Coturnix japonica: one gene and its partners. The protein of the gene in region 2 interacts with the protein of the main gene of each other region in a pairwise test. Links are inferred from orthologs where the notes say so. Each region holds a gene or a part of one and is shown on either strand. Other genes may lie near its edges. The genes, in order: ESRRG, DEUP1 and TXLNB.

What was found.
Region 1: the proteins of DEUP1 (region 2) and ESRRG interact in binary tests that used the Homo sapiens proteins (3 or more experiments, as listed by UniProt). The two-hybrid records come from large-scale screens. The link is inferred for Coturnix japonica from reciprocal best matches to the Homo sapiens genes DEUP1 and ESRRG.
Region 3: the proteins of DEUP1 (region 2) and TXLNB interact in binary tests that used the Homo sapiens proteins (3 or more experiments, as listed by UniProt). The two-hybrid records come from large-scale screens. The link is inferred for Coturnix japonica from reciprocal best matches to the Homo sapiens genes DEUP1 and TXLNB.

Annotation. Positions count from the first base shown.
Region 1 is NC_029518.1:17,480,703-17,485,029, forward strand, and holds the start of ESRRG (estrogen-related receptor gamma), read left to right. Parts: upstream 1-1,380; 5' UTR 1,381-1,530; coding exon 1,531-1,628; intron 1,629-4,327. UniProt on the Homo sapiens protein: Orphan receptor that acts as a transcription activator in the absence of bound ligand. Binds specifically to an estrogen response element and activates reporter genes controlled by estrogen response elements.
Region 2 is NC_029516.1:166,248,466-166,251,769, forward strand, and holds part of DEUP1 (deuterosome assembly protein 1), read right to left. Parts: exon of another isoform or gene 3,192-3,304; intron 876-3,191; coding exon 687-875; intron 593-686; coding exon 522-592; 3' UTR 447-521; coding exon of another isoform or gene 436-446; 3' UTR 1-435. UniProt on the Homo sapiens protein: Key structural component of the deuterosome, a structure that promotes de novo centriole amplification in multiciliated cells.
Region 3 is NC_029518.1:48,823,748-48,827,970, forward strand, and holds the start of TXLNB (beta-taxilin), read left to right. Parts: upstream 1-1,341; 5' UTR 1,342-1,543; intron 1,544-4,223. UniProt on the Homo sapiens protein: Promotes motor nerve regeneration. May be involved in intracellular vesicle traffic.

The DNA of each region.
Region 1 (4,327 bases), on a different chromosome or scaffold from region 2:
TATGTTTCTTTTTGGTGCTTTTTAATTCAAAGGGTGTGAATTGTGAGTACCTCTGAAAATTGGGCCACCAACACTTACACTTGTTTGTGCTTGCGAGTGTGCACGTGTGTGCAACGTGCGTGATCAGATGTTGTGCGTGCACAGGATCTCAATTATTTTCCTGTTTGAATCACTGAGCTTGCTGTCTTGATGTACTGTCAGTTTTGCTTTCTGCCCTTTGGAATAAAGTTCAAAATGTTAAAGAAATAACACACAATATATTAGGAGCTAGGATAGTCATAGTGCCCAAGGGGAAAGGAGTGTGGTGAATAATCTGTTTTATGAATGCCTAAAATAAAACCTTAGCTACTCCTAACCCAACTCTGTAGTGATGTACTTGCAAAAAAGTGATTTTCTAAATGTTGTTTTGAGGTTTGGTTGTTATCTTGCAGAGAGCGGTAGCCTCCCCCCTCCTCCCCTCCTCCCCCCCCCCCCCAAAAAGCAGCATGCAGGGTCTTGGTCATGCTCTGGACATGGGTCATCATTGTTCTTCTGAGTATTACTCTGGGCTAAGCACTGAGGCAACTAAATTGAAATTAATCCTTGATAATTCTTTAAAATCAAACTTCGCTGCCAAGTTTAGGGGTTGAAACACCTCTAGCATGTTTATATATCACTTTTCTGGTTTCATCAACTCATGTGGACAGCAGTAAGAGGTGCAAGAGTGGGGATGGGTCCTGCCTGTCTCCCGTGGTGCTGAGGCCAAGCTGCAAGCTGGGGCAGTACTAATGTGTGGTTGGAGTCACTGCACTGGAGTCCCAGGCTTTGCCAAATTGAGGATACTGGGCTCTACAGATATGACACGGTGCTAAAGGGTCTACCTTGGCTATTAAATGAAAGAACTGGCCTCCTCCACTACCCAAATCTGTTGGTTTGTATTCTGTATCAGAAGAAAACAGCTGGGGTGTGTGCAGCTGATGCAGGGCAGGTTCGGGTTATATTTAGGATAAGCAGGATGCCCACTGTACATATTGATCAATTCTGAGGCATAAAGTGCTTTTGGGTGCAGCTTGCAGCTTCTCATCTGCAAATACCAGGATCAAGGTAAAGCAAAACATCTCATGGAGAATTCTGCAGTTTGTAGTCCTGACAGACGAAAACCTTTTACTGTGACAGAGACTTCCTGCTTGTACTGTAACAAGTAGGGGTTTCAGATAATGTTAATGGTGCTAATATGTTAAATGTGGGTTCCTGAAGTCCTGTAGGACATGCAGCAAGCCCCAGTGATTCAGACTGGGTGAAGTTGTCAAAGGTTGCTCTGCTCTCCAGAGCCTGGCAATAGCTCCACTGAAATGTGATGCCATTGGTTTTCAGCAAAGGTTTCTTTCTGCAGGGCTGCAAACAGAGATCAGCTGCTACTGTGTATACACAACTAGGGAGCAAATCAACCAGCACATTTAAGGAGCCTTTTTAACCCTGAGACTTTCCAAGATTTCTTCTTCACACAGGAAGTTTCCTTTATATTGTCAGATTTAGCACTTTGCTCATGTAATGAGATCAGAGCTAGGATCACTGCTGCACAGTAGAAAGACTTCCTTAAGACATTTGTCCTTGAAACTGCACCAAACTCTTGGAAGAACCCAGAACCTGTAAGTATGTATGCTATAGGCAACAATAGCACAGAGCAGTGCTGCAATCAACCGTTGTACAATATCCGATTAGCAGTGCAGGAGGGGTTATTTTCCGATGCTATGTTACGTTCATTTTCAGTTTGTTCTAAGGAAACAAATCAATTCGGGCTTCTGATACAGTGACTTTGCAGTAGATGAGCTAGTAATGTGTTTGATTTAACTATTTGTTGCTCTCGTGGGACAATGATTGTAGCCATCATCCTGTACAGAACTTATGTTTTTAGGGATTTAAAATGATTTTTGGTAGCCATTGTGCAGATAAGTTTTTCCTTTGCTTTTTGATTTTGGCAACCCCACCCTACGACAAACTATAAATAACAGGGCAAAGGGAATTAGCGCACGTTGTTCTTAGGTAGCCATAAAATATATCTGTTTTTGCAGCTTAATTTACTTGTTAGTAACATTCCAGTGTTTGGGGGTATTTTTTGTCTTAATTGAATTCTACTCAGAGCTGTCTGTTCTGTGTTTTACGGTCTTGTCTGTGTCTGTTTAAGTTACTTTGCTGGGACTGCAGTCTGGTTAAACCTGTATTTAAGCACTATTTATATTCTGAGCACATTTCTGGTAAAATAAGTGTTTGAGATTTTTTTTTTTTTAAGCCTCTAAACAGTATAGTTTTATTAGCAGTGAGCACCAGAGGAGGCACAACATGGATGAATGTCAGATGTAGACCATAGAACCAAGTCCTCTGTGCGCTAAGTCAGAGCCGAACCTGTCCGCTTTTGTGACTACAACTAATAAGAGCCCAGAGCTCCCTTTTGATAAATTTTTAATATGCAACAATCCTTATGTTTATAAGATTAATTTCTCCCAGGTTAGCCTGATTGATGGCTGGATTGTGGTTTCTTAAGAGCTTTCTCCATGAAACCCCCCAGAAGAGCTGCATTCCATTTAACTAGTGAATGTAAAAACTGGTAACCATGGATTCAGCCACCACTAACTGTCGAGAGCAATGACTTGTTGTAAACAATACAAATGAGCCAGGATAGCAGAAGCAACCAGACATGAAATGATTTTAATAGAAATTACGGTAAAGGTCATGTGATATTGTATCGGCTTGAATTCAGTGTTAAAGGGAAAGTATTTCAGATTTGCAGGTTTGATTTAAATTGTACATCTTCGGTAGCTTCACGTTTGCATGAGACCCATGGAAGGGAAAATGAAGCAGTGTTTGGAAATGCCTCTGCTTAATTGCACATTATGGCTTATACCCTGATCCTGAAAACGTATGAGTAACTTTAATCAGTGAGATTATTCACGTACTTAAAATGAGGTAGTTGTATAAGTCTTTGCAGGATCGAGGCCTTTCTAGGTAAGTTAGTAAGGGGAAAAAAAATCTAAATTGTAAGGAAATAATAACCTGTCACTAATGATAAATCATGGAAATGTGAGTTTTAGCACTGTGCGGTTTGGTTGGAAATTGTTTGCTTGTATGGATAACAGAAAAACAAGTTATATTTATCCCTTCATTTTTAAATGTTATGACTTTCATTTCTCATATCCACCATTCCTCAAATCCTCTTCCTAATTTATAGCCTCTCTCCTTTGGATAACTGGTACACTGGGGTGTCAGCTATTATAATACAGCATGATGATAGGCACATGCAGATCGCATGAGCAGTCGTGTGTCCTATCTCAAGAATTTCCATCCCTACAAAATCTTTGCTGACTCCCAGCTGTCACATGGCTGTCACTCACAAATTCTAACCATAACCAAATCCTTTTCCATGTGCATGCGCTAACCAAACCTTGCTGTGTCCCTGTGTGCACAGGCACAAATGTCCCTGCTTTAAGTGCTTTCTCTGTGTAAATTGGGCTCTCCCCCAAGCCTGCTGCATTCCACTAATATTTCTCCATTAATTTGTTCTTGGGCGCTGCTTCCCTGTCATGCCTCTGCTAACCACACGTCCTTTGTAAGAAGGAACCTGGAATAATAATAGCAGTTGGTCAGAAATGCAAACAAAAATAACTTTGTGCTTTATGTAATACAACAACTCAGATCAGTACCAATCTAAACTCACAACTTCCACCCTAAATGTCTCAAAAATTTTAACTCTTTAGTGTTCCATAGGCAAAACTGTCACCTTGCAGCATACCAAATTGACACATTTGAGTACCAAATTTTTAACACTTACATCTTATGGAAAAGCCAGGAGTAGTTCCAGACCTTTTGTGTTTTTCAATCAGAAATATTTTAAAGAATTTCTCATCAGTCTTTTACAGATGACCAGTCTCTGCCAAGCAGAGTTTGCAACTGAAGATGTGTAGGTAGATACAGGACAAGTCTTGCTTTCCCTGTTCTTCTGAGATGACTCGTTAACCTGGGTGGGTTCACTTGTGTGTGTCAGGAAGGTAAGATTTAGCTTATGCCTAGATTAACAGCAAGTCACTCACCTAATACAGACAAAAATAGACTGACATACTGGAAAAATAAATCCATTACCAACAAAACAACAAGCAACCAACTTTTCAATAAGGAGGGAAAGGAAGGTTTGGGGAAAAAAAAACAAAACAAAAAAAACATGCCAAAATGTAAACCATTTTCTGTCAGGGCAGGTCATTGAGAGGATGTTTCTGTAAATCAGACCTACAACATTATGTAGAAGGAGGACAGAAAGGGCACCATCTTAACTTTGCAAGCACAGTCTAGGAGAACT
Region 2 (3,304 bases):
AAGGCTTGGTTAATTGCTGCAGAAAATCTCACGTCTCTGCTGCACGGAGGGATAAGCAGTGGCTGATGGATCCGGGTTATGGGAGGAATACGTCTAGACATCTACTGACCTCTCTGGCCCTTTGTAGGAAAGAAGTTCTGAATTGTGCAGGAGGTGATGTGTGTTGTCTCTCTTGTTTGCCTCCAAAGGCACCAAGTGAGCTGTTGAATCTTTCAGCATGGGGTTTTGGACAGCCCATGGTGAAGGGGTTTCTGCCCTTGGATTATTTTGTGTATCCAGGTGCTGGGTTGGTGAGTAGTGAGAAGCTCTGCTAAGCCACTGCCTGGTTCTCTCTCTGTATATGTGGTCTGTTTATCTCTTTGTCCATCGCTTTTCTTAGTCGCTCTTCGTCCTCCAGTCCAGATTAGTTTGAGGAAAACCACGTTTTCTTTTCCATTACACTTGCACTGGAAAACAAAGGGCAAGAAATCCCTTCTTCACTCTCAGCAGCAGAGAAGTGCTATTTCTGAATGCTCTCATATCTAACATTGGGGTCTGAATCTACTTCTGGCGCTACAGCTCTTGTACTGCAGCTCTGGTGCTGGGGAGCAGCCTGTTGGGAGCAGTTAGCAAGAAACATTTTGGAATGTGTCAATATTATCAAATCAGTACAGGAACCTTACGTGAGCCAGTCTCTATTGGCTTACCTCGTGGGGAAGTTAGAGCTTTCGTGTTTCCAAGAGAAACTGTCTCACTCTGCAAAGAAATGGTGGCTTTTCCCTGGTGACTCGGTGTGAAAAAGCTCCCAAAGGCTTTCAGCGGCCCCATGTCCCAAACAGGCATCGGCAGGAAAACTGAGGTCAGCTGTAACTCGGTGTTTTGCTCTGTGAAATTGCCTGCATCAAGAGAAGGAACACATTTACGTGTACATTAACCAGTGTTTGTCAGCTCTTGGAGTAAAGCCAGTTCTCCCAGGGCCAAACAAACACTGTGAGTGAATGAGTAATAATCTGTTATTGTCACTCTTAATTTATGGATGGGTAGATAGAGCAGTGTTCGCCGTTTTAAGTTGTCCTATTTGCTTGGAAGGCTAAAAATAATGATTAGCTATCAGCCTGGAATTGGGGAGTATCTCTACTATGCAACCTTTGTAAAACTGGGATGGTAAGAAACATCATCAAAACATTCTTCCAAGGAGAAAGATGCATGTTTTTTAATAGGAACGCTTAAAATTGTTCAACTCTAAGGCCTGGCCCATATTAAAGGCCGCAGAGAGGCAAATAGCACAGCATCCCTATGGAGCAGAGTTTGAAGCGTTACAAGTCGCTCGTGAGATGAAATTCTGCTCAGAACACCCTGTGAAGTCTGCTGAGAGATCCCTTGTCTGGCTGCAGAGAAGTGTGCAATATCGCACCTAAACGCACAGGCAGGAGATGGGTGAGAATTACAGACCTCATGCGCCAGCTGCTGAGTGTGCAGCGCCACGGAGCTGCGATGAGAATGGCAGCGGATGTCTGACTTCTCTAACAAATTGCCTCTCCCACCCACTCCTTTAGCCTTTCTTTCACTTCCATACAACTTTTCCTTCCAAGTGTGTTTTTTTTCTTCTTTCTTTTCTCTGCTATTCTCCTGCACTACGGGGGCTTTCTTGCTCTTTCTGTCCAGGCCTCATTAATCCTACTCACCTCCATATTTTACATGGTTGTTTCCACCCCCCCCCAATGGTGTTAAACTTCCTCTCTGTGTTTTTGCTGAATGAAATAACAGCAAGAAGGATCAGCATTGATGCTGTAGATGAGAGGATGCCCACAGCCCAGGGCTCTGGCTGCATCCACTAACACCGTAAGCAGTGGAGAATGGGTTAGTGGTTTCTCAGCCCCTCTGAAAGGGAGTTTCTAGGCAATGAAAGGGGGTTTCTGTGCTTCAAAGCCTTAGCTGCCAGTTGGTCTAAGCAGGCAACTTGGTAATATCAAAAGCTAAAATACCCCCCATTAGAGAGAAGCTCACATCAAATATGTTCCAAACTTGTAATCTCCCAGACTGTGGACACCCATGCCCTGCAAATGTGCAGCTCCCAAACCATCTGCACATCCTAATGCTGCGATTTACACTGCTACAGGCTCAGGGTGCATCCCAAAGTGTTGTCACTGATGTGAGCCTGCTGCTCTTGTGGTGAAGAAAGGGTCTGCTGGACTGAGTGCTCCAGACGATGCCCTTCCAAATGAATGTGAGCAATGAAAGGAAATGAATTGTATTCTCAAGTCAGTTGGATCTCGATGGAAATGTTTAAAAACCAAACCACCACCAAAATAAAAAAAAAACCAAACAGCCCATAAACCCAGCAGCTCGGAGGAGTGTTTCTTGCAATTGCTCTGAAAGATGGAGCTATTGAGATTAATGTGAATTAATCTACACAAAGTAAGAAAGATACCTACTTAGATCTCAGCAGCAGCAGCAGGTGCTTGCAGCATTATAAATAGAAAGCAATACAAATTGAGGTGCTTATTAAATTTGCCTTTATGATGCTTTGAAGAATTGCAGAGGAACACAAAAGAAGAATTACCAGCAGTGCTGGCTTAGGAGGGTGACTTAAAATAGCCGCGCTGCCAAAGGAACCAGAATGTGAATTGGAATAACTGCTGGAGCTGCTCATAAGGGTGGTCTCACAGCCATTTGTCCCTCACACGGGGTGGCTGACTGAGAGCTGAGCACGGAGGTGATTGAACAGTGGAGGGCTTATTTCTTTTTGCCCAGTTTTAATCAAGTGTTGCGTTTTAATACGTTTTCCAAGAGGTTGCACTCTAATCTGGGATTGCCTGTGTTTAAAAAGTTTCTCCTTGTCTCCTTTTGGTTCTTCCCCTTGTTGACAGAAACTGATTCTTCAGGAAACCTTCATGGTTGGGGAACGGGTTTGTTTAGAATTCTTGCTGCCTTTTTGGGTAAGGCTTTTGTGAGGATCCTGTGTGTCCTTCAGCGTTTTGGTGGCTGAGCAGGGCAGCTGACAAATGGCCTTGTAGACCAGATTGGAGCAGCAGGCTCAACAAGCAGAGACGACATTAAAAATGAATCAAAATCAGTGGTTTGGGTGGTGGGTTTTTTGTCTTTAATGAGATGCTCAAATTGATTGACTTTGGCAGGGAGAGTACCAAGAAACTGCAGTGTGGGGAAACCGGGATCAGTGAACTGGGGCTCTGTGAGATGCTGGATCCTACCTGCTGCCGTGCTGCAGCGCTGGCAGGGCTGGTGGTAGAGATGGGTTCTGCTGGGCCGCGGCGTCGCTTCTGCACCCTCCTCATCTCCTCCTTTGGGAAAGGCACAGCTGGTG
Region 3 (4,223 bases), on a different chromosome or scaffold from region 2:
AGGATGCTCTCAACATATCAAATACCTCTAAGACAGTACTTCTAGATATTGAGCAGTCCAGTGCTGTTCTCTCTCACTTCTTCATGAATCAGATATTGCTACAAAACATTTCTAGATCCTCCAGTGCCACACAATGCATCAGTTTAAGAAATTACTCCAAATTTTTTTAGTATATACTTATTTTTCCTCCTATTTTTGCTCCGAGGCTTATTATTTTCCACTGGAGCTGAAGTCCTATTTCTCTTCTCATAGCACTGCCTGCCACTTCCAGCACCAGTCTATTGCTTCCCAGTTGCTTGCATTTTTGTGCATTAAACTGACCTACATCTCTCCCTAGGGAGTAAGCAGCAGATGGTCCTTAGGCCATCTGGCATCTTGAGATGCTGCCTGAGTGACTTGTGGGCCACAGCAGTGGGAGATGCTGGTCGCTGGATAAACAGCATGCAGCTGAACTCCCTGAGGAGTGCTTGCCTATTTATACAAACAACTTCAGGCCGGAGTGAGCCTGCACGGTATCATGAAGAAAGTAGGTCAGGCAAGTTACCTTGGCAGCAACAAAAACATTTATTTGAGAGCTCCTTGACTCAAAGAGAAGACTACACCAGCCATCTCTCCTAGCATTCCAGTCGCAGAAATGAGTCCATTCACCAGAGGGACACTGTGGTGGCTGGGGTTGGATTATTTGCCCCATGTTGTGACTAAGGAAGGTGGGATGGAGAAGGGAGAGCTTTGAGAACTCCAAACTGCAGCCCGCAGTACCTATGAGATTAACAAGAAGACAGATAGAGGCTTTCCATAGGGGTGTAGGTGGGAGGACAGGAAGCTGAAAGGAGGTTCAACCCAGATGTGAGGAGAAACGTTTTCACCTTGAGGACAGCCAAGCAGCAGGACAGGTTGCCCAGTCTCTTAATGCTAATACTTAATACAGGTCTTGAGAGACCTGGTCTCAGCTCATAGCTAAGCTTGCTATGAGCAAAAGGCAAGAGACATCCAGTGGTCCTCCTGTGAGTCTATGACCAGGAATCAGGTTTATAACAAATCCAGACCAGACTGCAAAGGGCAGTCACAGGTGTGAGCTCACACTGTGGAAAGCCACCCTAGTCTTCCTGGTGTAGACAGAAGACTTAGAGTTTGATCAGTCCATGTTTAATAAAGATAAGTTTCACAGAGCACAACACATCAAATCCTTGATAGACTAAGACTTAGCTTTCAAGAGTAGCAGCTGTATTTGAATCCTTCCTGTATCTCTTCTTTCTAAGGGCCTGAGTCACTGACCTCTCGTGCTATCTCTGTCAGAGAAGGGAATAGCCAACATAGTTGGGTTATGCTGCCAACTAGCAGGCAGCCTCCCTGCTCGCCTATCACAGCCAGTCCCCTGCATAGTGCGCATTTGGGCTCTGCAGTGGTTGTTCCTGCTGTGTCACTCTCTCCTTCCCCCTTACTTGATCTTCTTGGTGGCAGGATTATAATCCGGTGTTCTGCTGCTGTTGTGCCCTGGTTTGAGCTTTCTACCTGACTTCTGCCTGCACTTCTCTTTGCTCTGGTAAGTCTGACAAAGAGCTTCCCTGCTGTTACTGCTGGTGGCATGGCACAAGGACTTTAATCTAAGTGCTTCCCTTTGAGACAGTCAGCCCACTTTCCCCACTGGAAAGCCTGGGCACTGTGTGGCATGTGAGGAAAACAGGAGAGCATGGAAGCCCATTGGTGAAAGGATGAAATGCTTGAATGATCAAAAAAATGTAAGCTGACTTGGGAGAGCTGGCTTTTGGGTGCAAATAGAGGCTATGGCTGTGACAACAAAAACTGATGAAGACTCAGGTACCACATGAAAGACAAGACAGGAGACATCAGAAAGTCTCTGGGTCCAGGCTCTATCCATGCCTGTAAGAAGACGTGCCACCAAACAGCCAGATTTGTTCGATTTTGTGCTAGAAAATCATGCATAAATCACAACACCATTCAGCTGCAGCACATAGTTGATAAAGCTGATTTTGTCATAGCGTTCTGAAGTAATATATAGAACAGCCTTCAGGCTATAAGAAGGCACTTCTATATTTCTAGAGGGTAATTGGATCTACACCACTGCTGGCCATTTCAGGGTTTAATGTTTGCTGCTGGGAGGTGTTATGTAGTTTAGTATGGTGATATGCTGAAGTGAAGCTTTAGGTTTTATTGGCATATGCTGCCTGGTGTAATTATATAGAACACTTTGTTTTAGGGAACTTGTATGTGCGAGTATGTGAATTTTGAGCAAAAAGTGTGAAATACTATTCCCCGTTTTAGAAGTGCTTAAAATAACTCCTGGCTGCAGAGCAGGTGCCATGTGTCTTTCTGTTGGACCCATGGGGAGGCAGGTGCTAAATATAGGCGAATTAGTAAACCCTCCAGAAGTTCAGACTGCAAGAAGGGAAGGACAAAGAAATTCCTGTGAGAAGGAATGGTAAGAGTTCTGTTCAAAATAATAATAATAGTAATAAATTGTGACAGCATGCAAGCCCAAGCTCAAGACCTGTGTTTTATGCTCAGTTTGTGCTTCCAGTTACAGCAGCACCTCCACCCCAGCAGCACAAGGAGGGCTGGCACAGGGCACTGTGTGGGGTGGTTTGTCCAGCAGCAACAACACAGCTCATGAGTTTTTGCTTTGCCAACCTTTTGCTTCGGAAGCACTGACAGATGTCTAAGCAGAGTGAATGCAGATAGTGCCATATATGTGAAATACTAAGGGATACGGTCAGATCTAAACCAACTCAGTACATTATCTAACTGAACTTGCACACTTCTTTTCTGTTGCCTCTGGTTATGTTGCGTGTTTGCCGCATTTGTGTGCTCTCTCACCCAACATGCTGATTGCATCAACCCCAGGCACCAGTCTCACTGCAGGACAGCAGGTCTGGACAGGAGTCCTCCTACAGAAAGGCATCAGCCTGTGCCTGGCATCAGTCACCTCTCATCCAAGGCTGGGGCAGTGTTCAAAGGAGGTCCGTCCTTCTCTTGGGATGTGCTTGCTGAGTGTTTACTGAGGGAGGAGAGGAAAGGAGAAGCTCTGCCACAGTCAGCATAGGGAGGCAGTAGGCTCTCAGGATGCTTCCTAGTGGTGGAAGACCATCACTACAGCTAGGTCCTGGGTCTTCCTGGCTAAGCAACCAAGAGCTGCATTGCCAACACCTCCTCCCAGCCATGACTTGCAATGCTGTCCCCACAGACTCCAGCATGGTTTTCTCTAACTTTGCTGATGATGAAGACAAACTTAGGGTTTCAGACTTACACTCAGAATCAAAGTGAAACATACACACACACCTAGGGTCTGGGCTTGAAATTTAGACTGGCTATCTCAAGCAGACACAGAGCTAAAAACTGCAAGGCTGATGTAGAAACAGCATTGTATGGCTGTACTATTTTCTCAGTCTGTAGGGAATATCTGTAGGGAGCAACTATGACTGTCTGGAATCAAAATTGCGTGCAAAAAGGTAGGGCTGAGAGAGATACTGATCTCAGAGTTGTGGGGCAAGTACAGGGTTTGGAAGTGTAGGAGGAAAAAAGTAAACAAGACCAAACACTCAGAGTCAATCAAATGACTGGTCAGTCCTACCCCTCACCATAAAATAAGCTAAGGCCCTATAGAAAATCCCTGTGTGTGTGAAGACAGTGATAGCTGTAGGAGTCACAGAAGTCAAGAGGCAGAGTCAAAAAGCAGGCTCTGTCTCCTTTGCCTCAGTCTGTTGGAAATTAAGGGGCTGAGGAACTTCTCTTCTGGGATCAGCCACCTAATTTTTAGACATTACTGTGTCTGAGACAGCAGTAATGTAAATACTTGGGATTTTGTTGGATTGGCATTGTAAGTCTTTTATGGCCAGATAAGACAGAACTCCTGATGCATATCAAGGTTAAACAAGTTGGAGCAAGAGCAGGACTGGGAATTACTGCAGTAAAATTTCCCGTCGCCAAAGGCTGTTTTCAGAAGATGAGAGCTGCTCTGTCTTCCTGAATATAAACTCTCTCACACTGTGGAATCCATTACACAAAACAAGGTGCTAAGTCTTAACAGACATTGTGTTTGTGCTGAAAGCAGTTATCAGATCTCTGATTTAGCCTAAAGGAGAATGAAAGAAAATGCTAAAATGTTTGCTTGCCTGTGTAAACACAATCCTCAGTATGATATAGTAAGTGACAACTCTGGAGTCACTGGTTATTTCTATAGTTCCTATTTGCTTACCATTTCAGGC